Linked DNA regions of Ovis aries. The protein of the gene in region 1 interacts with the protein of each later gene in a pairwise test. Links are inferred from orthologs where the notes say so. Each region holds a gene or a part of one and is shown in the gene's direction. Other genes may lie near its edges.

Region 1 (10,644 bases):
AAAGGTAAGATAATTTGAGAAAATTATAACTATTTCTTTCTACGAAGTAGTTGGCATTTCCTCAAATAATAAAAACAAACACAAATATATGTAAAGTGTCTCTTTACCTTCTTATAAATATTGAACAACTCATGGACTTTACTCTTGGACCACTTTTTATTTATATATACAAATTAAACATGTATATGTACCTTTTCTTTTATATGTAAATTGCTCTGCCAGTACCATTCACTTCCTGATGCTGAAGAAGGAGAAGGCCTCCATGTGTGTGTTTGTGTGTTTGAAGAGTTTTATTTATTCCTGTCTTTGTTAAGTAGTCATGATTCTTTTCAGCTACCCCCAGGTCTTATTTTGTTGAAGAACAAATTGAAGTTATAAAATAATAAAGTAAAAGTATTGTGAGCATCTCACTGTGAGAAGTTTGGCAGGTTTTCTTTCTTTAATGAATGCTGTAATATTTTTGAACTTAATGAAATGTCAGTCCTGGGATTTTTGAGCTGGAGAAACTTAGTTTAATATCTCATCCCACCTGCAGTATTCTCTGATTTTGTTCTGAAACATTTAGTCAAATGCATCTATGTGTACTTGTAACAAATGCCAGTCTTCTTAGAAATCTCCATGTCAAGTGAATTGTTAGTTGTTGTGTAGGTCAGAAAGTTTATTACTCTTTATGAGGAACTTTAAAATCATCCAGGAAAGCTATAAATAAGGAATATTTGCTCTGTTTTCACATGCTTTAACACACTGTAGTAGAATTCAACTGCCAGCTTCTTATGATCTCGGATGTTAATGCGCCTGTGGCATCTTTCTCAGGGACAGTAAAGCATTGAAGGATGAGACTCTGCCTGCTGTCATCTGCCAGGACGTCGACAACCTCCAGTAAGTGCATCAGGAGCTAAGTCAGACTCCAACGTGGGCGGGTGCGTGTGGATTTCAGGGGGGCCATCTCCTCCTCCTCCTGAGCATTTAAACTTGGGGAACATTGGAATGCCTGTAAAAGGTAAAGAAGCAGAGCAATTGAATGAAGGAATTAAAATTCTGTAACTGCCATTCTGTGAACTGTAGATGAATGTTTTAATAGTTGCTTCTCAAAACACTTGGACTTAAAACTCTGACCTACATGTGGTAAATGTACTTTTTTTCTGTAGAAAACCAAAGGTGTATTTTTTTTTAAAAACTCAGTTTTCTTTTTTTAGGAAATTTGTGAAGGAACAAAAACAGGTTCAAGAAGAAATTAGTAGAATGTCTTCAAAAGCAATGCTTAAAGTCCAGGAAGATATTAAAGCTCTGAAGCAGCTTTTGTCACTGGCCGCCAGTGGATTGCAGAGGAACACTCTCAATATTGACAAACTGAAAATAGAAACCGCTCAGGTAAACTTGAGTGTCATTTTGTTGTAGGGTTTTTCATTTGTTTGTTTGTTTGTTTTTTAAATAGAAATAGGTCTTTTTAAAATTATGAAGTTTTGTGCATAAGAAAACCACATAGCACATGTACTTCTAAATTACTGTAATAGTTACTGGTTTTTATTGAGTGCTTACTTTGTATGGGGCAGTATTCTAAGCAATCTAGATATATTAACCCAGTGATTTTCCACAGTAGCCGCCTGAGGTGACGTTGGTTAGAGAAGCAGAACCTGTAGCAAAGGGCTTGGTGCACAGGAAGTGCTGCTGCTGTCATCATCCTCAGGGTTATTTATCTTGTTTTTTTTACGTCAGTGTTTTCTATGGTTATATAGTATAGGTTTTAAGTAGTAATGTCTGTATCTGTGGATGAATAAACTTCATGAATCCTACATAAATGCATAGTTTAAGATAGAACAGCAGCTGTTTTTACATTTATTATGAAATTTGTTCATGAAACTATAGTTTGTCCTGCCTGAAAGGAGGTTTCAGCGCCTTGTGAAGGAGCTTCAGTCATAATATGTTCTCACAGCATATGAAGCTCTGAGAGTGGCTTTGTTGAAATCCTGAGATGGTTGGTATTTTTAGCTTGACTTTTAACTGGCTTTTTCTTTTTTAAAACCTCTGTTATATTAGGAGTTAAAAAATGCTGAAATAGCTTTAAGAACCCAGAAAACACCACCTGGATTGCAACATGAAAATACAGCTCCTGCTGAGTAAGTTAAATAAATGTTTGTCTTTAAAATAGCAGAACAATAAAAACCGTATACAGGCCATGGATTTCTTAGTTCACTTTTTAGCAAGTCTAGGTACTTTGTGTGAATTTTAAAAATTTAATTCTCATAATAATTCTGAGAAAGTATATCACTCCCATTTTACTGAAGGGTAAGTGAAAGCTAAGGTCGAGCTTTTAAGCACTCTTCTGCAGTTGCATTTCATATTGCTTATAAGGTCTGTTCCACTTGATTACGTTGTGCAGGTGTTAGAAACTTATGAACTTATGATTATACCATAAGTACTTTCAGTTTAAAAATATTATGATAGTCTCTTCCTTAAACAGGGCATACTAAGTGTAGTTTAACCCTTTTATTTCCATAAATTTATTTGCATCCATAGCTTTTATTTGCATACATAATAATCTACAGGAAGAAAAATTGTGAAGTGTAGATAAGCAGCTTGAAAAATCCCCCTGTACCAGCTTGTATACTCATCTAGTTTCCACACATGTGATATATATCTTATCGTCTGTTTCCATATCCTTTTGTGTTATGCAAGATGATAATAGTGAACATTGTCAGATGCTTGCCATACACCACCTGGGTGGCTTGGCTCTTTACTGCCGGATCTGACTTTGCGCAAATCCTCTTCAGCTGTCAGAGTCCTGTCTAAGATGGGGAGCCTGAGGCACGGAGATGGAAGTCCTGAGCTTCTGGGTGGGTGGGGTTCGTTGGACTCCTGGTCCCTTATTCTTTTTTTAAGTTTTGTTTTGATTTCAGATTTGCAAAAACGTTTCAAGAATAAAACCAAGAATTCTCACCTATCTTTCACCCAGATTCCCCGCATGTTAGCGTTTTTAATTTGCAGTTGTTTTGTTCCTTGCTGTCCATGTTTATAAACACATTTCCCCTGTGTAGAATTGTTTGTCAGAATGATGCCCTTGAATGCTTGAGTGCTTCAGAGTCTATTTCTTCAACATAAGGATATTCTCTTTCATAACCACAGTGTAGTGGTCAGACTCAGGCAGTGACAATGATGGTGATACTCCTATTGCCTTACTCAGATGAGCATGGGGTGAGCTGCTTTGCTGGACTTCCTCAGTATCTTATCCTGCTGTCTTGTTCTTCATACTGCCATCAGAGCTAATTCTGAAATGGACTGAATCATGATTTGCCACTGTAAAAACTTTCAGTTCCCCATTTCTTATAGAATCAGTTCCAACTGTGTTTCATGCTATTCAAGGTCTCTTTTTATCTTTCTAGCATTCTCTGGTTATGTTTATCAGAATAGTAATAGTAATTATATACTTCTGTAGTACCCTGTGGTGTTTTCAGCTTATAAATAATTTTTATATATAAAAAATTATCAAGAAGAGGAAATTCACACTGCTGCTGCATTAGCCAAAATATAGAATTTACTTGAATTTTACTGTCTTTTCCACTAGTGTATTTTTTCTGTTCTAGGATTCTTTTCACACTGCATTTAGTTGTTATTTCACTTCCAGTCTACAACATTTATTCAGTCTTTTCTTTGATGACCTTGACATTTAAAAAAAAATATTGTTATTTTGTAGATTATCCCTTAATTGAGATTTTTTGTGATTGGAGTAAGGATATGAATCTGTTTTTGATACCTTGATAACTTATAAATTTGAGATTTTGTTTCGGTAATACTTGTGTCACTTAAAGGTATATTGTGTCATCAGACTAATTCAAAGGCCATAGTTAAACAGAGGCCTGTTTTTGTTGGAGTTTTGAATATGAAGGAAGCAGTGTTTTCACACTGGTCTGACTTGGTAAATGTTCTCGTGTAGCTACTTCAGGATCCTGGTTCAGCAGTTTGAGGTGCAGCTCCAACAGTACCGACAGCAGATTGAGGAGCTGGAGAACCATCTTGCCACCCAAGCGAACAATTCACATATCACCCCACAAGGTAACATGCTTTCTGTGGTCATTTTTTTAAGTGCTTTTAGTAGTTGTTGTCTTAAGCTGCCATAAGACAGTTTCCTTTAAAGTCATTGATTAGATCTTTATTTCTTACAAATATAAAATGCTGTTATGAACGATTATGATATAATGGGCACATGTCCTAGGGCCCACCTCCCCCAGATTACTGATAGAGAGAAGTCCTTCTCTCAGTCTGCTCTGCTGTCTTCTCTCTTCCTTGGCAGTATTGGTGTAATTTTTTTCATCCTACACGTTAACCGTACCAAGAAATGGACTCAAGTAAAAAGAATAATATTGATTGTGTTATATATGTATTTGTGTGATAATATGATTTTCTTTTATAGATTTGTCAATGGCTATGCAGAAAATTTATCAAACATTTGTAGCTTTAGCTGCACAGCTTCAGTCTATTCATGAAAATGTGAAGGTGAGTTCTCATTCCGTATTCATTTATCTGGACATCTGCACCAAGTGAAGTATTTGTTCATTTGCAGGACAAAAGTGTCCATGCTCATCACAGAAATAGCTCAAATTACTTGTAAGTGAAAAAGACCAACTCTGAAATAATCTATAATATGCCCAGACACAACTGGTCAAGTGTTGTGTGAAGTGTGTTAACTTTTTCCATCAGCATATTGTAAATGACTTTCCACATTCATACATGTACTTGTTTGCCATCGTTTTAGTAGTTAAGCAAGATTTTGTTGCATGTATGTGTAGTTTGTTTAACCCATTGTCTTTTGTTTGACATTTTGGTTATTTCCGTCTCTTATAGCACTATAGAAGGTAAATATTCTTAGTAGCAGAATCATTTCCCATTGCTTGAATTTTGTGTGTGTTTTAAGTGTTTATTGGACCCTTCATAAAAAAACTTGCTAACATTTGTCCCTTCTAAACACAGGAAACTGTATTTATCAAATAATAAAAAATTTGCCACTGAATATTTTGAGTATTGTGCAAGACATTCATTTTTAAAAATTACTTGGGCTAAATATAGGTATACTTTACCAATCAAGCAAATATAATTGGTCTTTCTTGGATTTATATATGGTCAGAGAAAATCTTTAAAATTCAAAGCGTCCAAACTTGAATCTAGATAAATTCTTAACTGTATAGATTAGAGTTTCATGGAGATTACCAGTGTTTTCATTTTTATTCTGATGCATGGTGATAGAATTTTTTAAAATTAACCACTTAAATCATGCTATTTTTGAAGTGATAGCATAGTTCAGACCTTTTGCTTTGATTGATTAAAAATTTTTAAACAAATCTTTAAAATAACTTAATTTTTAAAAAATAATTTTAAAGGAGGGATTTTTATTAAATTCTCTTGAAACTTTGTAATCAGTGTTTAGTTTTTCAAAGTGCTGAAGGTGGTTCTGTCTTGGCACTTTGAAGTCTGTGTTGTGCAGATGTTTTTCTTCCTTGTCTTATGAAAGTTTTCAGATATATAAAAAGTAGTATAAAGCTGATTTATTTAATCTAAACTCTTAAGGAAAGTATTTAATAATTCCAGGGTGAAACAGAACCATTCCTATTCATAGCCTTAATTAAGGAAGGTGTTGTGTTGGGTAATCCTACCCATCTTATGAACTTGGTAATTTTTTCTTGGGCTTCCGATAGCTCAGTTTGTAAAGAATTCGCCTGCAATGAAGGAGACTCCAGTTTGATACCTGGGTCAGGAAGATCTGGTGGAGAAGGGATAGGCTTTACTCACTCCAGTATTCTTGGGCTTCCCTTGTGGCTCAGCTGATAAAGAATCTGCTTGCAGTGTGAGAGACCTGGGAAGATCCCCTGAAAAAGGGAAAGGCTACCCACTCCAGTATTCTGGCCTGGAGAATTGCATGGACTGTATAGTCCATGGGGTTACGAAGAGTCAGACACGACTGAGCGACTTTCACTTTCACCATGTTATTCTCATTGTAAAATAATCAAACAGTATTGATAAAGTATACCCTCCAAGCTCTCTTTGCTTTGGTGACATTTTAATATGTGTCACCTGCACCTTTTAAAAGGTATTTAACATATATTTTATATACATATATCTATGTATTTAGTAAGCTTTTTTTTTTTTTAAAGCTGTTTATATCTAGGTTATCCAAAGGTTGGCCATTAAAGGGGAAGCTGTCATGAAAAACTAGTATATTTAAAATGGAATTTTAGATACTACTCTGCTTGTCTGCAAGCTCTCTTATTTTAAAGAGGGCCTCAGGAAGCCAGAATATGCAGGCAGTTGATTGTAAAGACATATGGCTAAAAGCAGGAAGACACTATACAAAGGTGTGGTAGAACTGTCAAATTCACCACTTCCCACACCATGCATGTGCAGCGCCAGCACTGTGATTGGCAAGTTAGATGAAGTATATGATGCTGGCAGTGTTTTTGATCTGTCTTTGCTAACTTACTGCATGGTTATATTCACGCTCATATTGTCAAAGTCAGCACAAGACGTGATTAACATGTTCTATTTTTCATTTCTTTAGGTGCTCAAAGAACAGTACCTTGGCTACAGGAAAATGTTCTTGGGAGATGCTGTGGATGTGTTTGAAGCCAGGCGAGCAGAAGCCAAGAAGTGGCAGAACGCACCCCGAGTCACTACTGGACCCACCCCCTTCAGCAACATGCCAAACGCAGCAGCTGTTGCCATGGCTGCAACTCTTACACAGCAGCAGCAGCCTGCTACAGGTCTGAATGCATTCAAGTTATAGCTTCTTACTGTTAAAGTGCAGAACACTGATGTGCATTTTTATGAGTCTTCCTTTTGTGTTAGCACTGAAGAAATTTCTGAGTAACTGTTCCAGTACAGTCTAAAAATTGTGATGGACACAATTATGAACATATACCTGATAAAAACACAGGGTAGTCTTAGCAATAATTATACATCAATTAGATACTGAATATTGTGAATTTACTTAATGTTATTTGCTGTGTTGCTATAAATGCCCTTTAGAACATGGTGTTTCACTACTGAATTACATTTAAGAACAGATTCTAAATTTGTGGCTGTATCATATATTGTTTTAAAGTCAGAGGTAAAGTAGCCAGAGGTTGCATTCTTCTCTCTGTGATGCTGACAGGCGGTGTGTTCTCGCATGCAGTGGTTACAGAATGCGCATACTCAGGATGAAGTATGTCTTTTTTGACTGAAGTTGTGTTGAGAGCGGTAGGTTTGTATAATGACTGAAAATAGAACAGGCCCTCTTAACCAAATTTAGAAGAAGGTACATGCTGGATACCTTTCAAAATGAACAGAACAGTGGCAAGAGCAGGAAAAAGATGTTTTGAATTGCTCTGGATTGTGCATGAGGTATGTGCTGGGAGGAGCAGATGAAATAACTGGGGTGATACTGGAAAGCAGATAATTGTAGTCCTTGGTTTAATTTCACTTCCTATGAGAGAGACATTTCTGTGGTCCAGTTCTGCGTGTGTAGTTTGGTCCTGGGTCTTTCAGAGATTATTGTCTTTTTATTTCTGCAGTCCTTGTTTTGTCAGGCTTAAAGTGTGACATAGAGAAATACAGTCTTAATGGAAACTGATTTTTTTTACTCATTCATACATTTTTGAATAGTGCTTATGAGTTACTCTGTAGCGTGTGTCTTTCTGAGAGTTCCATAGAGTCCGGTAGTAAGTTATAGTGTGCAAAAGCAAAAACTGTGCACGTCTAGATTGCATTCAGGCTGCCTCTACAGGAGAAGCATTCTTGCTGGCAATTTAAAAAACTGTTCTTCACACTTAAAGAGATGGCAGAGTTGACTTAACCATCAGTGAATGGCTGATAATGGCTTTATGTCAAATCCCCCATGTTCCATGGCTGGACCCATGTGGACAGTGGTCCACACCAGCACTGTGTAGTAGTTCTCTAGCTGGCTAGGGTGTAGGACTGCATTGTTATATTACAGAGGGAAAAAGTCATTGTGGCATTGGTTCCCAGCGGGTCATTGTGGGGTGGCTAGAAATCGAATCAGCCCTGTACTGGTGCCTTCGTTTCTCCTGATGATTTATTTAACCAGCTCATCAAACTAACTGTAGTACCAGTTTACTTTTCAGAGCAAATATTGATTCTAAAATAGACCAGAGAGCAGGACTTGGTTAGGTATTCTTTAAATGTAAGAGATTTCTATTCTAATCAGTAGAACTGGAGAAAAGTCAATTATCTAAGCTGTTAATAAGGGAATTATGTTCTGTGGTGTATGCTAAAATTGAGGTAAAGTCACCTGTTGGATTTTTGTTTTATATATTTTCTTATGTAGGCAGTCTTGAGAAGTTTGTAGGTTTCCCTGCATACATTTTGGGCTTAGAAAGATACTTGTCCCTAGGAAGATACTTGTTCATTCTTTGAGTGCTGCCTCTGTGCCAGACTCCAGGGTTAGCAAGGTAAACAGTAGAGATGCGGTCTGTGCTCTCTGTAGTGGTGGAAAATATTAGCTTAACTTAGAGGAACCATCCTGAAGCACCCTCTGCTCATGTGCTTTGGTTCTTTCGGACCATCGCCAGGCTTTGGGGACACTGACTGCCTTGTACCTTCCCTGTATTTGTGAAGCCCATCTAGAGCTTTCTGATCAGGTGGCAGGAATTGTAATTTAGTAACCTAAATAGTCTTACAGTGTTTTCATTTTGCATTGTATGGATTTTTGGACTGAGGAGCTGAACAATAGTGATCATTTTGTGCTGTCTTCTTGGTTCCCCTTTGTTTCTCCGAGGGTCTCCATGCTCCGTGGCCCATCCTTTTATGCCTGTCTGGGTCAGTCAGGATCCGCTGCTTTAGTCGCGTCACCCACCGCTGGAGTGAGACTGAGCAGCCGTTAGATGCATGCAGCCCATTAGAAATGCCCTCTTTATTGCATTGCACTTTGTACCCGCGTCTTGTCCCTTATGTCCTGTGACTGGTGAAATCTTTTAAGTGCCAGTAACAGCATTTAAAGACCATCTAGATGAAGCTGGGTGAGGCTTGTATGCTGTTTTTAGTCAACCCTGTTGGTCTGTGCAAGGTTTGAGTCGTCAGGGGGCTTTGCTTCTGTTTGCATATAGGTTCTTGACTTTATTAATGTAAAAAAAGCAGACTGCTTCTTAAGCTGCTACCTTCTAAAGGTGCATTCTGTGTAGTCTTTCTTGGAGGTGGAAATATGGATGTAAGTGACTTCATGATCCTCCTTCAATGTCTTTTAATGAAAAAATACATGTAATAGACCTAAGGCCTGTGTGATTTATGGTTATTGCTTCTGAAAGCTGAAGAGAATTGATGACAAACTCCACAGGCTATTTATGTATGAAATTAACTTTGTATGTGGATAGATTACGTGCTGGCAGATCTGGAGCACACTGTCCACCATGCTTCTGAAGCCTCTTAAAAAGCTTAAGATATTGACATTAGGCTTTTCAGTGTAATTTTTACTTAGGATAGATTGTTTTAAGCTAATGAACTGGGATTAAGTTTTGCTGTTGTGTTTTGACGCTTTTAAAAGTTCTTGGTGTTTACATAAAAAGACTTTTTCTCATGTGACTTAACTGCTGTTTTTAAGGAGAGCTGAGACATTTTGTTAGGAATTCCTACTTTCTAGCTTTTAGTGTAGGTTTGGACATTTAAGGTGTATTGCTAAATAGGAAACTTCTTCCTTTGAGTTTCTTGTGGTTTTACAATTTTGTTGTATGTAATAACCAAAGGAGCATTCCCCACTAAGTCAATGAGTAAAATTTTTCAAATTGGGGGAAAACAGTTTTTGTTTTTTTTAAGAAAAATTATTACTTAAAAAAAATATGATTTAGGAATAACCATCCTAATTACATTAGGTATTTTGAATGATCGTTGAAAATTATAATAAAAGAAAAATTTAGCACTTTAGTCCTTTTCCTGTGAATTCAGTTTTACTTTTAAGAAAGTAGAATTTATCCTGAAAAATATGAATTAAAGTGCTAACTTGATTTTGTTATGTGTGAATATATTATACAGTAACTTTTGTAAAATGTTACTCTACATGAAGGTTTCACTTTGGGCAATCACTGGGATATGTTACTACTAACTGGGTATTATTTATGGAACTAAGAGCCTCTCATTGAATGACTAATGACTATTCAGATTTTGAGACAGATTTCTTGACTTGTTTACGTAATCTTTGCCTGAAGGATGTAGATTCTGCTTCTAATAGTGAAACTAATTTATATGGTGGCCAGAGTGTAATATATGCTAATACTTTGGCATGGGAGATATTTATCATGAGTTTTTACTATTAAAAAATGTTATACATTTGCCTACTAGTTTTATAAATGATGTTGCCTTCAGAATTTGTGTGAAGGTACAAAACTCAAAATATCATGTACCTGTTGTGCAATGGAAAGTCTTGTCATTCTTAGAGTTCTTGATTACCTATATCCTGAATATTAATGATTAGAGTTGCTCTTAAAAGCAGACCCGCACACAACGAAAAGCATGTTATGTGAGTAACTCTTGGGACTTGTAGGGCTGAGGGCTGTGGTGTACATTATGCTCTAGGGTCTTCCACCAGCAGTGCCTCCTATGAACACGTGACACTTAAGTCTCTCAATGTTAAAGAAACTGGATGTGTGTTTTCTACATAATACTTCT
Region 2 (10,644 bases), on another chromosome or scaffold:
GTCATGTCTGACTCTGTGAGACCCCATAGACGGCAGCCCACCAGCCTCCGCCGTCCCTGGGATTCTCCAGGCAAGAACACTGGAGTGGGTTGCCATTTCCTTTTCCAATGTATGAAAGTGAAAAGGGAAAGTGAAGTCACTCAGTCGGTGTCTGACTGTTCGCTACCCCATGGACTGCAGCCTCCCAGGCTCTTCCGCCCTTGGGATTTTCCAGGCAAGAGTACTGAGTAGGTTGCCATTGCCTTCTCTCTGCTGCTTATAGGGAAATGAGCTCTGTATTTGAGACTTGGAAATGTATGCCCAGACTTGTGGCCTGCTGGAGAAGGAAATGGCAGCCCACTCCAGTACTCTTGCCTGGAACATCCCATGGATGGCGGAGCCTGGTAGGCTGCCATCCATGGGGTCGGAAAGAGTCGGACACGACTGAGCAACCTCACTCACTCACTCTGCGGTAATCCCTGTTTCACTGTGTTTGGCGGGTATACTTGATAGTCTGTGATGTGAGGTTCTGATTGTTCCAAGTTTCATCGTCAGTTGAATTTTTTCTTCCCTGATTGTCCTAAATTTTACCATCAATTGAATTTTTTCTTCCTAATTTTATTCATTTTGTTAATTTCAGTGTTTTCTGGGAAGGGAAGGAAATAACTCTTATTCTGCTATGTTTTTCCAGGAGACCCTGTACCCTTAGTTTTAAACCACTGTGTGTGTGTGACTTTTGGGCCTTTGTTTTTTTTCTGGCTTTCTGAGTTCTAAAATTAAAGTTGAATTAGAAGTTCTCTAAATACCTGCATGTGTCTTATATCAAACCACATTAATACTTTGTTGTTACGTCTTTCCAGGTGTTACCTGTAATGTTTCTGTGAATGAGGAACAGATGCTATCCAAACGTAAACATGATAATTGTTGGTGAGTAAAGCTATATCTATATGAGTATGTATGTTTTCATTTTTTTAAATAAAAATATTTGAAAAGATCATCAGCAGTAAAATTTGGGATAAAACTTTTTTCATGGTGTGTGTGTGTGCTTAGTTGCTCAGTCGTGTCTGACTCTTTGCAACCCCAAGGACTATAGCCCTCCAGGCTTCTCTGGAGGAGGATTCCGTGGGGGTTCTCCAGGCAACAGGACTGGAGTGGGTTGCCATGCCCTCCTCCAGAGGAGCTTCCCAAGCCAGGAATCAAACCCAGGTCTCCTGCATTTCAGGTGGATTCTTCACAGTCTGAGCCACTAGGGAAGCCCTTTTTCATGGTGATATCAAATCAGTCATTGTGCATGCTTAGTTACTTCAGTCGTGTCTGACTCTTTGCAAGCCTGTGGGCTGTAGCCCGCCAGGCTCCTCTGTCCATGGGATCCTCCAGGCAAGGATACTGCTGTGGGTTACTGTGTTCTCCTCCAGGGGATCTTGCTGACCCAGGGATCGAGCCCACGTCTCTTACATCTGCTGCATTGGCAGGTGGTTTCCTGAGTGACAGTGGGCGCCTGTAGATTTAAGATGGAAGAGTTTCTAAACTTCTCAAGGCCTGTTCCAACACTTCCATTTTGGGTGTTTGGCTTGGACCAAAATTGAAAATTGAAAATAAAAACAGGAAAAGAAAGTATCTTTATCGTGGAATCTCTGAGCCAAAGAATGCTTTAGATAAATGCTCCCGACTTTTCATGCCGTAGCTCCCATAGATAATGCTGATGCGGCACATGCAGACATGTGGCCCACTGCGGTAAAGACAAGGCTGCACGCCCGGTGGCACAGGGGCTCCAGCTGTCCCAGGCCCTGTTTTATCTCTCCAGGTGTTGAAGGGGTCACTGTCCTGCTCTACCTGCCACCGTCTACTGCAAGCAGCATCCTCAGCACACTAAATGGGAAGCTCTGCTTTGAAGAATTGTTGCCCAAAAGTTGTCTTACTGATGCATGTGAATAAGTGGTACACAAGCAATTCAACAGAAATGAATAATCATATTAAAATTTTATTATTTTTTATTTATTTTAATATTTATCTATTTGGCCCCACAGGGTCTTCATGGTGGCTCTTGGGATCTTTGCTCTTTGGTTGTGGACTCTTTAGTGTGCAAACTCTTAGTTGTGGCACGTGGGATCTAGTTCCTTCATCCCCAAGGGTCAAACCTGGGCCCCCTGCACTGGGGAGCTCAGAGTCTCAGCCGCTATTTTTTTTTTTTTTTTTTTTCAATTTTAAAACATTGGTTTTTCATTTCTAGTAATGTTAGTGTGTCCTACTCAAATAAAGTATAGTTTCATTTAAAAAATTACTCTCTTTAAGGAGAATTTAAAGTCATAATAGGACAGGTGGAGTGCGAATGTAGCAGAAATTGTACTGCTGGCACGCTGGTAGTAGCAATTTGGAAAACCCAGCCTTGGATCATTTCTCCCTTTATTGATGAAGAAAATGAGGCCTGGGGAGGTTTACAGCCTCACCAAGGACATAGGCCGTTAGCAGGAGCTAATGATGGTGCTTTGCTGTCCCTTTGCTTCCTGCAGAGTGTCCTCTACTTCCCAGTTCCAGTCATTCTGATGTCAGCTTACAGCTTTGCTGTCGCGCACTTGATATTTTTCATTACATTGACCCTGAGTTTTTATTTGTTTATTTTAAAAGGAATCTGTATGACTGCTGTGAATGTATCAATTGCTGTTGAGTGAGTGAGTGAGTGAAGTCGCTCAGTTGTGTCTGACTCTTTGCAACCCCATGGACGGTAGCCTACCAGGCTCCACCATCTGTGGGATTTTCCAGGCAAGAATACTGGAGTGGGCTGCCATTTCCTTCTCCAGCTGATCTTCCCAAACCAGAGATTGAACCCGGGTCTCTGGCATTGCAGACAGATGCTTTACCGTCTGAGCCACAAGTCTGCACATGTCGAAAGTAGCTGTGACAATAATTACGGTGGAAACAAATGTTATTAAATTCTAGCTGAGATACCCCCGGCTGGCTGGTTCTGAGCCCGAGTTCTGTCCTCTTACAGTTAAAAGATTTGCAGCTGTGACATACACATTAAAGACCTCTAGCACCAGGCTGAGACTCTTCTGTTCTTCATAATCAAGATTTCTAGAGAACTGAAAAGGGAATCGACTCTTGCTCTGAGTCAGTGTTGTGAGTTCTGCTCGCTTGTATCACCTGAACCCCATCCTTTATGCCAAACTATAGCTCATGGGCCAAGCGCCTGTTTTTATAAACATGTTTTTATTGGAGCGCAGGTCTTTCAGTCATGTGTTATCTGTGGTGGCTACCATGCCACAGTGGTAGAGACAAGTAGTTGCAGTAGACGCCACGTAGCCTGCAAGCCTGAAATACTTGTTCTCTGACTCATCACAGAAAAAAATCTGCCTATCCCTGCCCCAGGGCATTAATGATCCTCGGTGGACAATGTGACATTTAAAGAACATGTACGATCTTTTTGCCTTATTTCAGAATTTTAGTTAATTTTTAATACCAGATTGAGGCGTTTACATTCTAGAAAAGCAGCATCTTCTTAGTATATTCTCATCTTCTTTTTTGTTTTTCTGAATTTTTATTTATTTTTGTCTGTGCTCCGTCTTCATTGCTGTGCATGGGCTTTCTCTAGTTCTGGCGAGCTGGGACTGCTCTGTAGCTGGCGGTGTTCGAGCTTCTCATTGCGGTGGCTTGTTGTGGAGCATGGGCCCTAGGAGCTCGGGCTTTAGCACAGGCTTAGTTGCTCCACGGCATGTGGAATCTTCCTGGGCTAGGGATCGAACCCTTGTCCCCTGCATTGGCAGGTGGATTCTTATCCATTGTACCACCAAGGAAATCCAGCATACTCTCTGCTTTGTCACTTGTGTGCATGCTGTCTGTCACTGGATACTGAAGGCAGTGTGACCTGGAAGTGCTTTCAAATGTAAGCATCTTACTATCTTTTTTTTTTTCCTTTTTATACATAGGACCTAGTAGGGTCAGGGTAACATACTTCAGCAACTTAAACGTTTAGGTGTTTACAGATCTCAACAACGGGGTGTTTGTGGTAACCAGTCACTAAAGGGCGACGTTTCTTGTTGCAGCATCCTGCAGACTTTGTACTGCACAGGTTGTTCGCTCAGCCTCGGCTACCTGTACAGGTGCACACCCAAGGATCTAGACTACAAGAGGGACATGTTCTGCCTTAGTGTTGAAGCCATTGAAAGGTATGTTTGAGGCATACATGAATAGCTCATCGCTGAATTCTCAGAAAGTTGTTTGCAGACAAATTGGTATGAAAATTTGGAGACTAAACATTGTTTGGTTAAAATATGTTTTTAAATAATAATTTCTGACCCTAAAGCAAGTGATTTTTGTTGTTGTTTGGACCTGATTTATTTGCTATTGGAAAAGTCTGTTATGCTAAATTGTAAAAGAAAGCCCTGTGAGAACATTTTGTAGAGTAAAAATTTGCTGTTTTTCTTAATTAAATTTAGTTTAGTAGGATTTTTTTTAAAGCAATTATGTGTATCAATATATTTTGTCCATTTTATTTTTTCCTCTAGTTTTTAGTCTAGTATAATAACTTGAAAAAATAGGAATTTCAGAAATGGTTGGGAAAGAAGTCCCTTTGTTCTGGAAAAGTAGAAATGCAAAGTCCAGCTATTTCCTAGAGGACTGTAAATAACTGCCTGCTGTTTTGAGAGATGCAAGGAAGTACCTTCATTTTTCAAGACTTCTAAAAGGTGTTTGGCGAGAACGTGAATTAGGGTCTGATGACATATATCTTACTGACCCTTTAGTTCATTAACCTTTTAAAATTGGAAACAAAATTAATTGACCCCAATGTCTTTTCACTTATCCTGGAAATGATGTAACTCTCAAGACTTTAGAGATTGTTGTTTAGTAGCTCAGTCGTGTCCAACTCTTTATTAGCTCATAAACTGTAGCCTTCCAGGCTCTTTTGTCCATGAGATTCTCCAAGCAAGAATACTGGAGTGGGTTGCCATTTCCTTCTCCAGGGGATCTTCCTGACCCAGGGATCGAACCCGTATCTCCTGCATTGGTGGGTGGGTTCTTACCGCTGAGCCACCAGTTAGGTTTTCTTAGAGATGCCTAGGAAACCTTAAATATCAAGAAAGAAGGACAAAAGTGCCTACACTTTCATTACTTGAAGTATGTTGTCACTTTGTTGAATTTCTTAGATTTTCTCTTTAAAAAAATTTAGAATAGTGTTCTTTTTATTATAATTTTTCATTTAATTATTTTTTGATTACTACAGTTTTACCACCATCTTTGAAACTAGACAAGTTTGGATCAAAATTGTGAAATCTGCAAACTTTTTACAGCCTTTAACACAAGAGAATAATGTAGCAAGTACTGCTCATTGATGTAAAGCATGCAGGCCCACCTGGGGAGAGATCAGATCTGATTTGGTTTTAATATGTAAATAGAAGACTCATGCCCAAACAACTGCTCCCTTAATCTCCATGGGAATTTTACCAAGACTTGTGGAAATTATGTGGGGGAGAGGACAAGTATGAACGACATAAAATCTTAAACAAGTATGGTTGGCACAGAACTTTAAAAACGATCCATGTCTGTATTTCTGCACAGAGGATCCTAGTATCGAAGCTGTTCTTTCCCCAATAGTTGAATTTAAGGAAAAGTTACCTCATAGGGCAGAATTTAAATGACAGGGAACCAGGTGTGTTTTAGAAATGGATGCTGTCCGTAATGTTTATTTACAGCATTATAAATTAATCAGTGCCATTTAATTTTCCCCATCTCATTTTTCTTTTCTAAATAAGATATTAACTGCCTTCTGTAATTTTTCCTTTGATGACATTTTTTAGAAATTTAATCAATTAATCTTGGGTTTCCAACAGAAGACTGTTTATATTTAACAGAAGTGACGTACTGAAGTTGTTACACGTGGTGAAAGACTTCTAAAGAAATACAAACGAATGAAGGTTTTTATGTTTTGTTTTTTTCTTGAGAAATAACAGCACCTTCTCCACTGTTGAGATTTATTTGGTTGCCAGAGCTGGGCTTGTTTTCTTCCATTGCTAGGCCAGTTATATTTTCAAATTGTAGCATGTCATCTGGAGAAGGTGATGGCACCCCACTCCAGGACTCTTGCCTGGAAAATCCCATGGATGGAGGAGCCTGGTGGGCTGCAGTCCATGGGGTTGCTAAGAGTCGGACACGACTTCACGACTTCACTTTCATTTTCAGTTTCATGCATTGGAGAAGGAAATGGCAACCCACTCCAGTGTTCGTGCCTGGAGAATCCCAGGGACGGGGGAGCGTGGTAGGCTGCCGTCTGTGGGGTCTCACAGAGTCAGACATGACTGAAGCGACTTTGCAGCAGCAGCAGCATGTCATCACCTCAGAGAGCAGAGCAAAACATGAGTTATAAAATAACTGTTGAAGTTGCCGAAATCTAGGTAATCAACAATTGATGCTACAGATTACATACTAAAAGTCAAAACTTGAAAATACACAAAAACTTGAAAATGCACATGTTCTTGAAAAGTTACATAAAACAGTGGCTTCTTCAGGATCTTTTAAAACTTCAAAATGTTACTGTTGTACCACCCAGCTTACTAAAGAGCCAGTTTTATTCCCAATAATGAAATATAGCATTGAGAAATATGTAGAGTTCTTGGACAAAGCTGTTATGGAGAATAACATGATTTCATGTAGTTCAGCTTCCTATGTAGGTTTCTATTAACAAAAGTAATTGTTTTATGTGTTTACTCGGTACTAATATATACTTCAATATACTTTGAGTTTTAATGTTATCAATATAAACTTTATATTTACTCCCTTCTCATATTTTAACTTTGTATTGTACTGTACTTCAGTTATGTTTTAGGGTCATCTGAAAAGCAAATTGTGTCAGAAGACAAAGAGCTTTTTAATCTTGAAAGTAGAGTTGAAATAGAAAAATCTCTAAAGGAGGTAATTTTGTTCTGCACTTTTTGTATCTTTGTATAAACAACTTCCAGTCAATGACCAAGTGCTGCTCCATGAATAATTCTTAATTGTGTCTTCTCTTTTGATCTTAGCATTCATGGTGAGAGAGTGCTTATTTTATTTCAGTTGTTAGTAAAGTTGATTTACTGGGAACCAAACTACAAATTAAGCCAAAACTTTATGGAAAAAATTATAAAGACGTTCCATGCTAAATCAAAGCAGTATGTATTCTAAAACTATTAAAATAGAAATATATCTTTAAATCAGTATTTGATTTAATTTTCATGGTGAAAACAGCCTTGTTTTTGAATGTTAACATCCTGTCACAGGCAAGATAGTGGTGAATAAATGTAAAAGCTATGGATCAGAGGTTGAGAGCTGCTATTAATAGGCTTATGTCTTATTTAAATAGAATTCCATTAAATAAACACAGATATATATAATGTATAACATAGCAGCAATTATATTAATGATCAACATTTAAATCATATTTAACCATGTATGATTTTAATCATATGTATTTTTTTCTATTTTTTTCCATTTGATAGATGGAAGATGTTTTGAAAGCCTTGCAAACAAAGCTTTGGGAAGTCGAATCAAAACTGTCCTTTACCAGTTGTAAAAGCTGAATTGGTTCCAAGGCCCACATTCTGCAGGCCTCTGCTGATGGAGAGTTCTTTCATATGTAGCAATTCTTGTTATAATATACTTCACTTAGAACTGAAAGAGTTGGAAACAGTCATGTACATTGTATCCTCTTGTACTGACCGGCTGGTCACGTGAGAAGAACTGGAGAACTTTTCTGGCTGTGTTTGATGGTAAAGAGGTGATTGTTTCCTAAACTCCAGTTTTAAAGTCATGATAATTGCTGGAATTTAAGAGTTGTTGTTTTGATAACAAACTGCTATAATTTTTTGAATGGTTTTCTCCTCTGTATCGATTCGTTATTTTTTATTTCCTATTTTTTAACTATTTTTCACTTTTAATAGTTTGGGCATTGTTTAATATCGAGTGCTTGGAAAATCTTAGAGGTGTTTCCATCTACTGTGTGGTTGAATCTTCTTTGAAAACTAATGAATATAGCTTTCTGGAGAAACTGGTCAGTTGAATTATTTGTCAATACTCTGAAACCTTGCACAAGAGTAGATTAGCTTGTATTCTGTTGGTGGTTGGATTCCGTCTGGTCCTGTTTATTTACTCCTGTGTGCTTGCTTAGCCGCTCAGTCGTGTCGGACTTTGCAGCCCTGTGGACGGTAGCCCTCCAGGCTGCTCTGTCCATGGGGTTTTACAGGCAAGATTGCTGGAGCAGGGTGCCGTTTCCTTCTCCAGGAATCAAACCTGTCTGCTGCATTGCAGGGAGATGCTTTACCTGCTGAGCCGTCAGGGAAGCCCTTGTTAACTACCGTATGCCCCGTAATCTGGCAGCATAGTCACCAAGGAGAGCAGTAATCATTCCCAAGGGTGGGATTCTGGGAGAACTTTCAGTTTTCATAATGTAAGACTTCTAGTAAGCGCTTGTTATTTTTATAATGAGGGGGAAAATAAAGATGAAAGCAAAGTGCTTTACAATTGATTTTTATGAAACAGTTGTTTAAATGAGCTCAGAAATCCTGCTGTCATTAAATACCACACATTTACTGGGCATGGCAGGGTAAGGGGTCCTGGTCAGGACTCTAAAGGTAACCCCAAATTCCCCCAGCTCCTACTCTGTTTTTGAGTATAAATGAGGCCACCTAACATTAGTATTCAGCGTGTTTGAGTAACTTAACTCAATTTCTGCTCAGAACCTCCCCAGTTGTTTCTGAGAATACCTCAAGTTGTCATGGCAAAAGGTCCTAAGTCAGATTGACTTGATCGTTGATCATTCACAATTGCTAAGTTCTTTTTGAGAGATTGTCTGCAGTCTCTAATCGTCTGAAGTTAGTGAGCTGTCCAGGTCTCTTCTCAACACCTGCTGGCAATAGTCATCCTGCCTCAGTAAGCTTGATGCGGTCCCCAGGGTCTGTCATTGTAGGTGTTTCGGTGGCGCTTGTGTGAAAGTTCATTTAGAACAGATAGAAGAGTTATTTTAACCGAGAGATTCAGCTGACTTTCTAGTCGGCACGGGTGACTGTTCTCCACTCACTTTCAGGGACATTCCAGTTTGGCTCCTTAATTCCTTTTACCCTGTTCATCCTGGGCTACAATTTCTAGCCAATCCATACACCTTGAAAACGACTCATTTCTCCAATGCAAAGTGATTTCTAATATCCAGCAGTGCTAACCAAGCCTCTCTTGTGGTTCAGGAAATAAACAGCCCAAGTGCCTTTGTGGCAGTTTGGGCCTTTGGTTAGCATTTCCCTGTACACTCTGTGTGTTTGGAGTTTTATTTCCAGTGAGGGTCCTTCAGACGAAGTTAGCTTAAACCATGTGGGTGGAGAGCTCACACACAGTTATCACACAGTCTTTGTTGAAGCATCTGAAAGCAAATCCCAGGAAACAGCCGTGTCTCCGTGTAAGGCACAGTCTGTGTCTCTGGCCTCTGTGATGTTGCTGAAAGAGTGGGCTTACTATCACCGTGGGGAAGAGAGCTCTGAGGCTCCCACACTGCCTACTCGACGGGTCCATGTGGGACAGCCTCGTCCTCCGCAGGCTGCCCTGTGGCGCTTTGGAGGAGGGCCCGTCCTCACACTCTGGGTCAGCCTCTGCTGAAACCAACCACCCATTTCTCTGAAGCCTAGTGACTTCAGACTTATAGACTTTTTAGGCTCTGCCTGAGGGCTCATTGGTGTGCTGTTTGTTTGACTTGCCCTATGTAGCCACATACTAAAATTGACAATCAGGCCTGGTTCCTACTCCTTGTGACTGTGTGCTATTGTTTCTGGTTACCATTGCCCATGAGCAGGAGTGAGGATCCTGGAGCAAGAAGCATTCCAGCCTGAACTGTACAGGACCCCATCAAAGAGACTTCAGATAGGATCTAACCAGAATTTGTTTCTTCAGCCAATCCTCGTGAAAGGGTGCTCCCCAGTTCTTTAGGGAGAACCTCTGGAAACTAGTATAGAGCCTATTTATAGACTGTTGTGAATGCATGTGTATAGAACATGGTCTTCATCCCAGAGTGTGGGTTCTGCTCTTCTCAGCAAGCTCTCCTGTTATGTTCACAAGTTTCCAATCTTACGAGGCTGCGATGGCTATTGCTTGTGTAGGATCGATGTCTAGACGGAGTATGTCCTACCTGGGTGATTCTAGTCAGGCTTGGGGCATTAAAAATGGGCAAAATGAGAGTGCCTTCTTGCAGAGTTGGGTCTAGGTGTTCAGTAGGAACTACTTGAGAGGAGCCATGATGAGCAACGTGATGAGCTTTTGAGGGAATCTTGGGGGTGGTCAACCCCTGGCCAGAGTCCCCCGCTTCAACTGCTCTATTAGCCTTGTGACCTGGGGCAAGTCTTTTATCCATTTTGAGCCTCTGTTTTCTTATCTGTAGAATGAGCTATGATAACCTGCTTTTCTTGCGTCACAGATAAAGTAATGCTTATGATGGTACTTTGAAAGCAGTAAAGCATCACAAAAATAAATGACAAAGGTGTAGCCTTGTTTAATTTGATCTGATTCAGTGTTCTCCTCAGTCTTACTTCTAGTCTGATTGTTTGGATGTCCTGGTGCCTCAGAGGCAAAGAATCTGCCTGCAATGCAGGAGATCCGCGTTTGACCCCTGGGTCGGGAAGATCCCCTGGAGAAGGGAATGTCCACCCACTCCAGTGTTCA
Region 3 (10,644 bases), on another chromosome or scaffold:
CTGGTACCTTGTTGAGGATGTTTGCGTCTGTCTTCATCAAGGATGCTGCGCTGTCGTTTGCCTTTCTTGCGGTGTCCTTGACTGGTGGTTAGGACGCATGTCCACTTCCAAAAGGTGAAAGTGAATTACTAGAGTTTGGGATACAGAGTAGTACAAACCATTTTTTTTGCACGTATACTCTGCAGATACAGCAGTGCTTCATCAGATTGTCACCGAGGCTCTGTACACAGCCCGGTACACGCCGGCTCTCAGTTGAGCCCGGGCTCCCAGGCCGCGCGTCCTGAAAGTACCCGAGGCTGCCACAGTGGGCTCTGCTCTGCTCCTTATCTGGGCGGCTGCGTCCTCATGGGCTTATCCTTTGCTTTCTACTGTCAGGTGGGCGGGTCCTGCATATGCAGTCACCTTCTATTTGGGAAGATCGTTCACTATCAATAGCTGGCAGCATCTGTCTTGGGCGCTTGCCCTCCTACAACCTGGGACCAAGTTTGGGTTGACATTGGACTTTCTCTGTGTCCACCGCTAATATTTAAATTGTACATTCTCCCCTCCACCTTCAGAGGCTCTTTCCCTTAAGGCTATACCATGGCGGAACAGAGTTAGAGCTTGAATGCAGGTCATGTTGGGGCTGACAGGAGGGCTGATTGAGAAAGGAAGGGTTTCTGTCGACATATAATTTGCAGTGCATTGAATGTGCTCATCTGTGCCCAGTGAGGTCAGGTCGCCCACCACAAGCAAGATTTGGGACAGTGCCGTCGCGGCAGGCGCTCCCATGCCTGGAGCCGTCACCCCTTCCCCGCGCGCCCTTGGTGACCGCGCTCCGTCTTCTGTCTCTGCGTGCGGCCTGTTGCAGAGTGCCTTGTGAACCCTCTGAGTCTGGCTTCTGTCACTTAGCTCAGCGCAGCCCAGGTTCATTCCCGTGTTGCACACTTCGGAGCTGGCTGCTTGTGACTGCTGCACCGTTTTGCATTGTGTGCACGTCCGCTTATCCATTGACTCGTTGAAGAGCAGAAATGGTAATTAAAGTTTGTATTTTTTTACCTGTAGAATTTTTTTATGCCAGTTCTCGTCCAAACGCTGAGATGTTCGTAGGAAAAGTTGACACATTTCAGAATATTCTAGTCCTGATGTTGTCTCCATCTCTGCTAAGCCTTGGCCGATGAGGCGAGGGGCTTGTTTGACTGTCCCTCGAGTCAGTTTGCTAGCATAGCAACTGCTGCATTTTAAGAGTGGTGGCCAGAATTGAGAGTCTCAGAGTCCGGCATCATTGATGCCTTATCGGAGGCATATGATAAGCCTGTGCATAGGCAAATGACAAGCCTGTGGTGATGCATCCCCCAAATAAGGAGCGGAGCCGGGCAGACCCCACCTGTTCGTAATGGGAATAACAACACGGTGAGAAGTAACTGTGAACTGAAATAACCTTCACTGGTGAAGAATTAATTTTTCAGAAAAGCTTTTAGTTGGGGTTTCCATGATAACATGGACCCTGCAGGCATGTTTAGGCTGGTAACTGAAGAGTGAAACGTGGGCGTGGGGGGGCTTCTGGATCCTGACAGCTTTCAGGGCCTTCCAGAAGCTGTAGCCGTGAGATCAGATGCCGCAATGGGAAGAGAGCACGGAAGTGTATCTGCAGGGTGGAGTCGGCCTTCAGTCAAGCTTAGTTTCCGGCCCGTTAAGTCTTTTCTTTAGCTTTCCGCGTGTGCTTTATCCCGTAGCTCAGGAGTAGATCACCAGGAGTGGCCTTACACACATCATTCTGCTGTGGCCGTATTTAGAGTAAACCGACTGTTAGAACTGGGGCGGGGCAATAATCGTCTTCAGTGTTGTGAAAGTAAGCCCACTGCCGCCTCAGGAGCGCCGCCAGAGCTTCTGTTGCTCCTTCTAGAAGACGCAGCCTGTCCAGCACAAAGTCGCTGAGTCCGGAGACGTCTGGAGAGGACGAGGATCCCGACGTGGCTTCCAAGCTGGGGATGTGCAATAGAGAGATCGTGCGGAGAGGCGCCCTCATTCTCTTCTGCGACTACGTCGTAAGTGTGCAAATGCTGGCGGTGGGGGTCAGGGGTTCATGCAGGTAATGCTGCTACTGACTGACTGCTGCCGTCCCACCGTTCCGCCAGTGAGAAACTAAATTTGAATCCTGCTCCTAACTATAGTGAGAAATCAGACTCAGAGTCTGGTCCCAGGAGTTTAGGTTCGTCTGCAAAAGGCTGGGTCAGCTATCACTTGCTCAGGCCTCTTGCAGCGCTGGGCGCCTTTGCTGTCTTCAGTGATAGTAATAATGGAAAGAAGCTACAAATCTGGCTGAGTGAGGTTCTGATTAAAATCTGTTTTAATCTGTGGAAAAGGTTTTCGGAAGTTAATTGCCAGAAGTTAATTGCCGCGTTTTTAATAGATTCCTGTTTGAATGACATTCTTTTAAAATATGACTCTTTTAGTATTTTTTTACCATAAAATTATAGTCATCTCTTATTTAACACAGAAAATTTGCAAAAGCCAAATAAGTAAACAGAAGAAAATTAAGCCTTAATGGTTGTTACTCAGAGAGGACCCAACATTCCACCTCGTTGAGGTTTGCTCCTTTCTCTGGGTGGACGGAGAATGCCGCCCGCCTCCGGGGCAGACGTGACGTGCTCCCCTCCGCCCTCTGCAGAGCTCTTTTCTGCCATGATAGCAGTTTGTTAATACTTACACTTTGCTTTACATTCTTGTTGTTGAAGTAGTTTTTCTATCTTGTTCCACTTTTTAAAGTAATTTGGTATAATTATATAATGCTGTTTTCACAGAACAGTAAGAAAAATATTTATTTTATGTTAATACTATCAAATTATCCCACATAGAAAGTATTAATCATTAACCCGATGGCAGAAAATGTATCTTGTTTTGTAATTTCTGCCCAGGATCAGGAATTTTAATGAAAAGGCAGCATACATATTTTAAAATGTGTACTTTTTATCTCCTCCTAAACCTTACATGAAATATCTCCCCTTAAGGTCCATCGGACCTGTAGGAAGCACCATATTTCAGATTCGGAAGCTGTCAGGACTGTGGCAGTCAACAGGGAGCTCTTTCTCTCCACTGACTCGTCACAGAGTTGGGGCAAGAGTGGCTGGAGCGCTCCCATCAGGAGGCCGGACTGAGGCCCAGGGCAGGGGGCGCAGGGTGCACTCCGGCAGAGTGCCACCTGCCCTGGAGTCTCACGCGGCCACCACTGCCCTGGGTGCCCCGCGCCCCTCAGCCACACTCCTCAGTCCTGGGGCCGTGCTGCTGGGTTGCACGTCCCTGGGGCCTGAAGGGAGGTCACGGCCAGGGTGTTTGGTTGTTGGGGGCGGGGTGGGAGTCAGGCTCTGTGACATGCGTTCGCCCTCATCAGTGTCGCTGTCCAGACGCTGGGCATTTTCAGTGAGGGCTGCGGTCTGGAACCAGCACACTCCTCCCTGCCCGTCCTGGCCTCTTCTTGGCATCGCCGTGTGTGCCCACTGGACGGGGGCCTCTCATTGCTGGCTTTGTGCTCAGTGCCAGAACCTGCATGATTCGGAGCACCTGACGTGGCTCATCGTGAACCACATTCAAGACCTGATCAGCCTGTCCCACGAGCCCCCCGTGCAGGACTTCATCAGTGCCGTCCATCGGAACTCTGCCGCCAGTGGCCTTTTCATCCAGGCGATTCAGTCTCGCTGTGAGAACCTCTCCACTGTAAGTCTCCCGGGTGCCAGCCGCTGCGCGTTTTCTCTGCCTGAAGAATGGAGCATTGGCGCTTTTGGCTTCTCTTGCTGTGGAGCGTGGGCCCGGGGCGTGCGGGATGCAGAGGCCCCAGAGTGTTGGTGCACGGGCTTTGTCGCTCCACTGCGTGTGGGGTCCTCCCAGATCAGGGATTGAACCCTTGTCTCCTGCGCTAACAGATGGAGTCTTTACCCTTGAGCTACCGGGGAAGCCCCTGTTGGTTTTTTTAACCTATTCTTTCCACTGGGTAAACCCGCTGCCCTCGTCTCTGTCCTCCTCTCGCTCTGCAGCCCACCATGCTGAAGAGAACTCTCCAGTGCCTGGAAGGGATCCACCTGAGCCAGTCGGGTGCCGTCCTGACGCTGTACGTGGACAAGCTTTTGTGCACGCCGCTCCGTGCACTGGCTCGTGTGGTCGAAACCCTTGCTTGTCGCCGGGTGGAAATGCTTTTGGCCGCAAATTTACAGGTACTAGGAGATAACACTGCGGGTTGATTTTTACCGGAAGCTTGGCAGGGCAGGCGAAACTCTGGGCCAGTTCCTTTTCCACAGGCGGCGTCTTCACGGCCGCGAGGGAAGGTGCAGCATGGCTGCGTCGGTCCTTCTCGTGTGTCTGGCATCTGTGCTTCCTGCGCTTCCAGTCCGCCTCCGCTCCTAGGAGCCGGACGCAGCTGTTGTGTTTTGTAGATGAGCACGGTGGTTCTGGCCTCCTGTGCATCGCACACGCTGACGTGGTCTTGTCTCCTCTAGAGCAGCACGGCCCAGCTGCCGGCGGAGGAGCTGATCCGGATCCAGGAACACCTGCAGAGCAGCGGGTTAGCACAGAGGTAACGTGGGGCCGGGCTCCTCGTTGCGGGTGCGGAGATGAGGGTCCGCAAGGGCGCAGCCTCACAGGGCAAGAGAGGGACGTGCGTTCTAGGTGGCAGATGGGCCTCGAGAGAGCCTTCAGGATTACTGGTGTCTGTGTGCAGAGTGCAGACCCGCTCTGCCGCGTTAGTCCCGTGGCTGAGAAGGGTGCGTATCGACATAGCTCTCACTCACCGTCTGCTCTGAGTGGAAGTACCGGTGATCAGCTCTGTCTTAGTGAGGATCAAAACCTGTGATCCGATTGCTGAGTTAGACAGCAGAGCTGAGGCACGTTACCCAGAAGTGTATCTGCAGCTCATCAGCGTTCTCTCTCCATAGCAATCTATCACCTCCTTTTGTCTGCAGAGCTTTAGAGGCCTTTATCTGAAATCCTGATATCTATGACGTGAGTGTATTTCCATCACTGCAGAATAAAAAGGAGCTTCACCTTCTCTCCTGCACAGTAGGGAAGATGTGTGCAAGAGAGCTGGGTCAGTGTGCTGCGACTGCTGTCTCAGGAGAAGCAGTTGACGGTTTAACTCGGAGGGACAGGACTTGCTGGGCAGTGTATGGCCTTAGGTGACTTGTCAGTGCGTGGAGTGACTCGCATTGTAGTCTGCATCAGAACTCTGTTGTTCTCAAAACAAGTGACGGGAGGTCGGACTTTCTCTTTTTGCCCCTAGATGAGGAAGAATAAAAATACCCTGTGCCAGATGAGGTGACTCGGTCATGGAATGAATGTAGATGGGTGTAAGCTGTGTATTATGTGGGGACTGAGCAGATTTTGTGCACTGGGGTCGTACCTGGTCCACTGTGGGTTCATGAGCAGCGCTGTGTGGCTGTCACGCTGTGTGTCCCTGCGGCACTGCTCGGTGTGAATGCAGTTTCTGGAGAACGCTAACGGGCCACGTCTCTGTGGAGGTGGCCTGTCACCTGGGCCTGACTTTGCACCGTGACTTGTGTGAGTGTTGGTGAGAAACAGCTCTGCGCAGTTTCAGGCTCGTCTCGTCTCGCTGGAGGAGCCCGTTCAGCTTCTAACACGCCTGCGATTGGCTTCCAGACACCAGAGGCTCTACTCCCTGCTGGACAGGCTTCGTCTTGCCACCGCACCGGGGTCGCACGGCCCCACGCCCCCCGTCACGTCCCACCCCCTGGACGGGGATGGGCCCCTGGCACTGGAGGCAGTGAATCCTGACAAAGTAAGTGTCTGCATGTTGACACCCCGGCCCTCGGGTCGCTGAGGACTGCTGTCCGCCTGGGCTGTGGGGTGGCTCGGGTGGCAGGCTGTCCCAGTGCCCAGCACGGCCCCCGAGGGCCCTCAGCCTGCCCCAGTTCTTGCCGGCGGTGGCCACAGTTGCATCGGTGACAGGGCTGTGAAGTCTGGCCCTGGCTTTTAGCAGGGGCTGAAGGTTGGATGGCCGATGGAACACGGTGTCTGTGGCCCACCACCCAAGTTGTCTCCTCTGCTTAGGCCTGCTGACCTGTGTGTATCCACACCCCACCCGCGGGCCCGGGCACCTTGTCCTGCGTTGGGAACCACTCACCTCAGAGCTGGGGCCCGTTCAGAGCTCTGGCAGAGTCTGGCTCCTCTCCTTTTTGGGAGAGAGTTCAGTTTTAAATATGTCGTTGGACCCCAGAATCCAGCAGCCCAAGCAGGGACTAGTGAGACCCAGGCCACAGTTCTCAGGTGTGACTTGTCCTCACGTCCACGGTGCTGGCCCTGGGGAGAGGGAGCAGAGTAGACTCCCGGAGGCGATGGGTGCGGTGCCCAGCAGGGTGGACAGAGGTGGGCCTGCTGCCTCGGGGCACGGCTGAGGCTCAGGGACAGCGGTGCCTTCAGCAGATGAGAGGAGGTGGTGCGGACAGGTGACAAGTCCACGTCGCCGCCCTCGTGGCCGCTCCCATAGGAGGGCCCGCGGAGTGGTGACGGCCGGCATCCAGTCTCACTGAGGGTCGGTCGTGGCCCAGGGACGGCCTGGTGCCCTCGGGCTGGGCCATGGACGTGGGGATCAGGCAGCGTGGCCGGCATCTGGTCTCACTGAGGGTTGGTCGTGGCCCAGGGACAGCCCGGTGCCCTCAGGTTGGGCCTTGGGCGTGAGGGTCAGGCAGCGCGGAGACAGGCTGGCGGCCAGTTTGCAGTCCCGAGAGCCCGCGCGGCCGCAGCCTGCTGTCTCCTTCCCTTCTGCCCAGGACTGGTACGTGCAGCTGGTGCAGGCCCAGTGCTGGACTCGGTCAGACTCTGCCCTGCTGGAAGGCGCAGAGCTGGTGAGCCGGATCCCCGCGGGCGACCTGGGCGCCTTCGTGATGCACTCGGTACGGGGGCCGGGGAGGCGGGCCTGGGTCGCTTTCGTCGCTGTGTGGGCCTGCTCTGCTCCGCTGCTGTGTGGCCGCTTGCGGTGCACACCCCTCACCTTCGTGCCTTAGAGGCAGGGAGCCTGATGCAGCATGTGATCTCAGCCCCCGAGAGTCCTGAAGGGGGGCGTCGTGTTTAACTCACCCTTTCACGCAAGTAAAGGAGGTCAGGTATAGGTGTTAGTCGCCCAGGCGTGTCCAACTTTTGGCGACCCCATGGACTGTAGCCCACTGGCTCCTCTGCCCCTGGAATTCTCCAGGCAGGAATACTGCAGTGGGTCGCCATTCCGTTCTCCAGGGATCTTGCCACCCCAGGGATCACGCTTGCACCTCTTGTGTCTCCTGTGTTGGCAGGTGGATTCCTTGCCACTAGCACCCCCTGGGAACCTGAAGGAAGCAGGCTCCCTTGAATTGTAGTGAGGTCTGCCTGCTTGTCTCGTGCCCCTGACGGGCGGTAGGTGTCGCGGCACGTGATGGAGCAGACTCTGTGAGGATGTTCTGGAAGCTAGGAAGCCCCTCCCTGCACCCAGTGCATTCAGCGAGGCCCCCGCAGGCTGCTGTGTGGAGCTGGCCACAGTCTTGGCAGGTCCCCTCTCAGCCCTCCTGGGACCAGCAGCTGATAAGCCTTCAGGGGTCGTGGTGCTGCCTTGAGTAGACCAAGGGGGAGTGAAGTAGGGGCCCAGGAGACAGCCCAGGCGTGACACAGAGCCTCACGGTGCAACCACGGAGCCGCGTGTTCCAAGCGCTGACCCTCCAATCAGCGTGAAAACAAAAGCTCCCTGGAAAAAGAACAGTAGGATCAGTTTGCTAAAATCATTTTAAAAGCCATTCAGTGAAAGCTGATTTGCTGGCAAATGATAAGCTTACTTAATAACTGATTCATGAATTTTCCAAATTTGCTAATTAGACTTTTAACAGCTTTAAAGAAAGGCTCAGCTGTAATGGCTGTACCAGAGGGCGCAGTTTTGGTCACTGGTGATGACACGCTTTTCTGAATGGTAACTAAAGATCAGCTGGAAAGATCCTTACATGGCTTTCAAAAGCTGGCAGAGCGCAATACACATCGAAGCATCATCGAATGAGTGCCGTTTTTCCAATCAAACTTGCCGCATTTCCATGCCTGCTGTGACTTCTTTCAGCTGCTTTTGAAACATCACTTGTCTTTTTCAGACACTGGGGACTTGGGTGTTCCACTGATTTCCTGGGCGGCACATCAGCTTGATTTTTGTGTCTGTATCAGTTAGAATTCAGTCATGTTTAAGTTTGACTTCAGATAAATAAGAAGGCAGAAACATTTCTTTAAAATCAAAGTCGCAGGACTTGCCTGACTGTCCAGCGGTTAGGACTCTGCGCTTCCACTCGGGGGCGTGGGTTCCTCCTTGGCTGGGGAGCTGAGATCACACATGCCTCATGGCTCGGCCAAAATAAGTAAATAAAAATTGAAGGACCTAGTAGAGTCCAGAAACATACCTCACAGGTCGGATGTTGGACGGGGGTGGTCGGTTATCTGTGAAGGAAGCGGGAGAGGATACTTGTTCACAAGTCGCTGACACCGTGCTTAGCTGCCATCTCCGAATGTCTGTGTTCTGCGCTCTGCTGTGTGTCTCTTGCCTGACTGAACACATGTCACAGTCGTTGTTCAATCTCTAATGCCCTAATTCAGGAGTTCAACCTGAGCCTGTTGGCGCCGTGCCTGGGCCTGGGCATGCGTGAGATCTCAGGGGGCCAGCGGAGCCCCCTTTTTGAAGCAGCTCGCATGGCGACTCTGGACCGCGTGACCGTTGTGGTCCAGCAGCTTCCTGCTGTCCACCAGGCTTTCCAGCCGTTCCTGCCCCCACAGCCCGCCACCTACTGGAGCAAGCTGGATGACCTCTTTGGTAACTAAACTGAAAGCTCTTCTTATTTTTATAAAATGCTGCAGAGCCAACGCTAGGCTTTGCACCAAGTGAAAGTACAGTGAACGCTCTGGATTAACACTCTGAGGCAACCGGGAGCCCGCCCTGGGCCCTGGCTCTGTGTGTCCTTGGTGTGTGTCCCGCTTTGCCATTCTTTGACGTGGCCCAGGCTCTGGGCCCTGAGGAGCGCAGTCTCAGCCTCGGGAAACAGGGCCTGGGCTCGTGGGACGGCGGGGTGTGTGTGGCGCATTCCAGGAGCTGTGTCTGCAGCCGCTGTCAGCTTCGCGGGGAAGGTCAGGGCTCTGCTGAGGGCTCGTCCACCCACGGGCCCTTCTGTTCCAGGGGATGCTGCGCTGTATCGGACTCTGACCACCCTGGCCCGGGCCCTGGCCCAGTACCTGCTGGTGTTCTCCAGGCTGCCCAGCCATTTGCAACTTCCTCCTGAGAAGGAAAGGGACACCGTGAAGTTTGTGGTCATGACCCTCGAGGTAAGCCGCTGTGCGGGAACTCGGGCTCAGAGCGGCGGGAAGTCTGAGGGCGCCGCCCGCAGAGGGAGGAGGCTCCTCTGTCTGAAACCCAGCGGGGCCGGCCGAAGCCCACCCGAGGCCCACCTTCCCGCAGCGACTTGTCCCGCAGCACGCCCACCCCCGCTCTGCTGGGCGCAGCCCCTCCCCTGGGTGCTCCGCTGTGCAGTCTGCCTCGTGGTTGGCAGCCCCTCCCCGCGCCTCTGCCTCTGGGCTGGGGGGCGGGCTCTCTGAGGAGTCAGACCTGGGACCTGGCCTCCTGCCCGGGGTCTCCCAGGTACAGGGCAGGGAGGCCTTGTTCACTTACTTTTGAGTCTGTTTCCTTGATGCCGAGAAAGTTTTTTGATTTAGTACAAACCGTCCATTTAAAATTTTTTCCAGGAAGAAAAAGTTATGTGTGTTCTAATTTTAGATACTTAAAAAGTAGTGATCTGAGAAGTTTGTTATATTTTAAGTTGAACAGTAAGCCTGCAATTTTCAGCTGTGGGGAATTAAACGCTCTCGGTGTTAACACTTATAAATAACCCCCAACCCGAAGCGTGTGCTCAGGGTGGAGCACAGCCCTTTCATACGCCCTCTGGAGAAGCGCCCGGCCTGCACCCTGCACGGCAGATACCTGAAGAGTGCCCACACGCCCGCCGCCTGGCTGTGGGGAGACAGCGGCGTGCAGAAGGCACTCACGCCTGCTCCTGAGGCGACGAGCCCGAGTGCTGTGGCGCCGCCCTTCAGACGCTGGGGCCGCAGGAAGGCTGGCAGACGGGCACCTGGTGGCCTTGCAGAGGCTTCTGCCGTCGCCGTGGGCAGGGCAGCCCTCCCTGCAGTGCCCCGTTCAGGGCTCCCTGCAGCCCTGTGAGAGCTGCTGGTCCCGTTTCACAGGCGAGGGAAGCCGGGCTGAGAGGCTCGACCCGCTGGGAAGCAGCCAGCACGGTCTCACTGCCAGGTTCAGCCTCCGTGACTGTGACCAAGGCCAGGCCCCAGGCTGTGGGAGCCCCCCTGGGCTGTTGGTCCCCCAGGCTGTGGACTGTGGGACCCCCGGGCTTTGGGAGCCCCCCAGACTGTGGGACCCCCAGGCTGTGGGCTGTGGGACCCCCAAGCTTTTGGATCCCCCCTGGGTTGTGGGAACCTCCAGGCTGTGGCAGTCCTAGGGGAGCGCCTGGCCCGCAGCCTGAGTGGTCAGAGCCGGCGGCGCGGAGGCTGAAGGCAGGGCAACCAGATGAGGCGGGCGTCCCCCAGTGAGCAGGCGGGTCTGGGTTGGGCTAGAGGAGCTCGGGGTGGTGGCCCGAGGCCATGGCTCCGTAGGACACTCTG

The links.
Region 2: the proteins of NUP58 (region 1) and MIS18A interact in binary tests that used the Homo sapiens proteins (3 or more experiments, as listed by UniProt). The link is inferred for Ovis aries from reciprocal best matches to the Homo sapiens genes NUP58 and MIS18A.
Region 3: the proteins of NUP58 (region 1) and HTT interact in binary tests that used the Homo sapiens proteins (3 or more experiments, as listed by UniProt). The link is inferred for Ovis aries from reciprocal best matches to the Homo sapiens genes NUP58 and HTT.

Annotation. Positions count from the first base shown.
Region 1 is NC_056063.1:34,147,429-34,158,072, reverse strand, and holds part of NUP58 (nucleoporin p58/p45), read left to right. Parts: intron 1-813; coding exon 814-879; intron 880-1,196; coding exon 1,197-1,371; intron 1,372-2,037; coding exon 2,038-2,117; intron 2,118-3,931; coding exon 3,932-4,050; intron 4,051-4,408; coding exon 4,409-4,491; intron 4,492-6,547; coding exon 6,548-6,749; intron 6,750-10,644. UniProt on the Homo sapiens protein: Component of the nuclear pore complex, a complex required for the trafficking across the nuclear membrane.
Region 2 is NC_056054.1:123,904,997-123,915,640, forward strand, and holds part of MIS18A (protein Mis18-alpha), read left to right. Parts: intron 1-839; coding exon 840-906; intron 907-4,019; coding exon 4,020-4,142; intron 4,143-5,804; coding exon of another isoform or gene 5,805-5,868; exon of another isoform or gene 5,869-6,767; intron 6,768-6,785; coding exon 6,786-6,882; intron 6,883-7,445; coding exon 7,446-7,526; 3' UTR 7,527-10,644. UniProt on the Homo sapiens protein: Required for recruitment of CENPA to centromeres and normal chromosome segregation during mitosis.
Region 3 is NC_056059.1:116,342,357-116,353,000, reverse strand, and holds part of HTT (huntingtin), read left to right. Parts: intron 1-1,852; coding exon 1,853-2,027; intron 2,028-3,513; coding exon 3,514-3,693; intron 3,694-4,010; coding exon 4,011-4,187; intron 4,188-4,469; coding exon of another isoform or gene 4,470-4,474; coding exon 4,475-4,546; intron 4,547-5,557; coding exon 5,558-5,764; intron 5,765-6,755; coding exon 6,756-6,878; intron 6,879-8,580; coding exon 8,581-8,794; intron 8,795-9,154; coding exon 9,155-9,300; intron 9,301-10,644.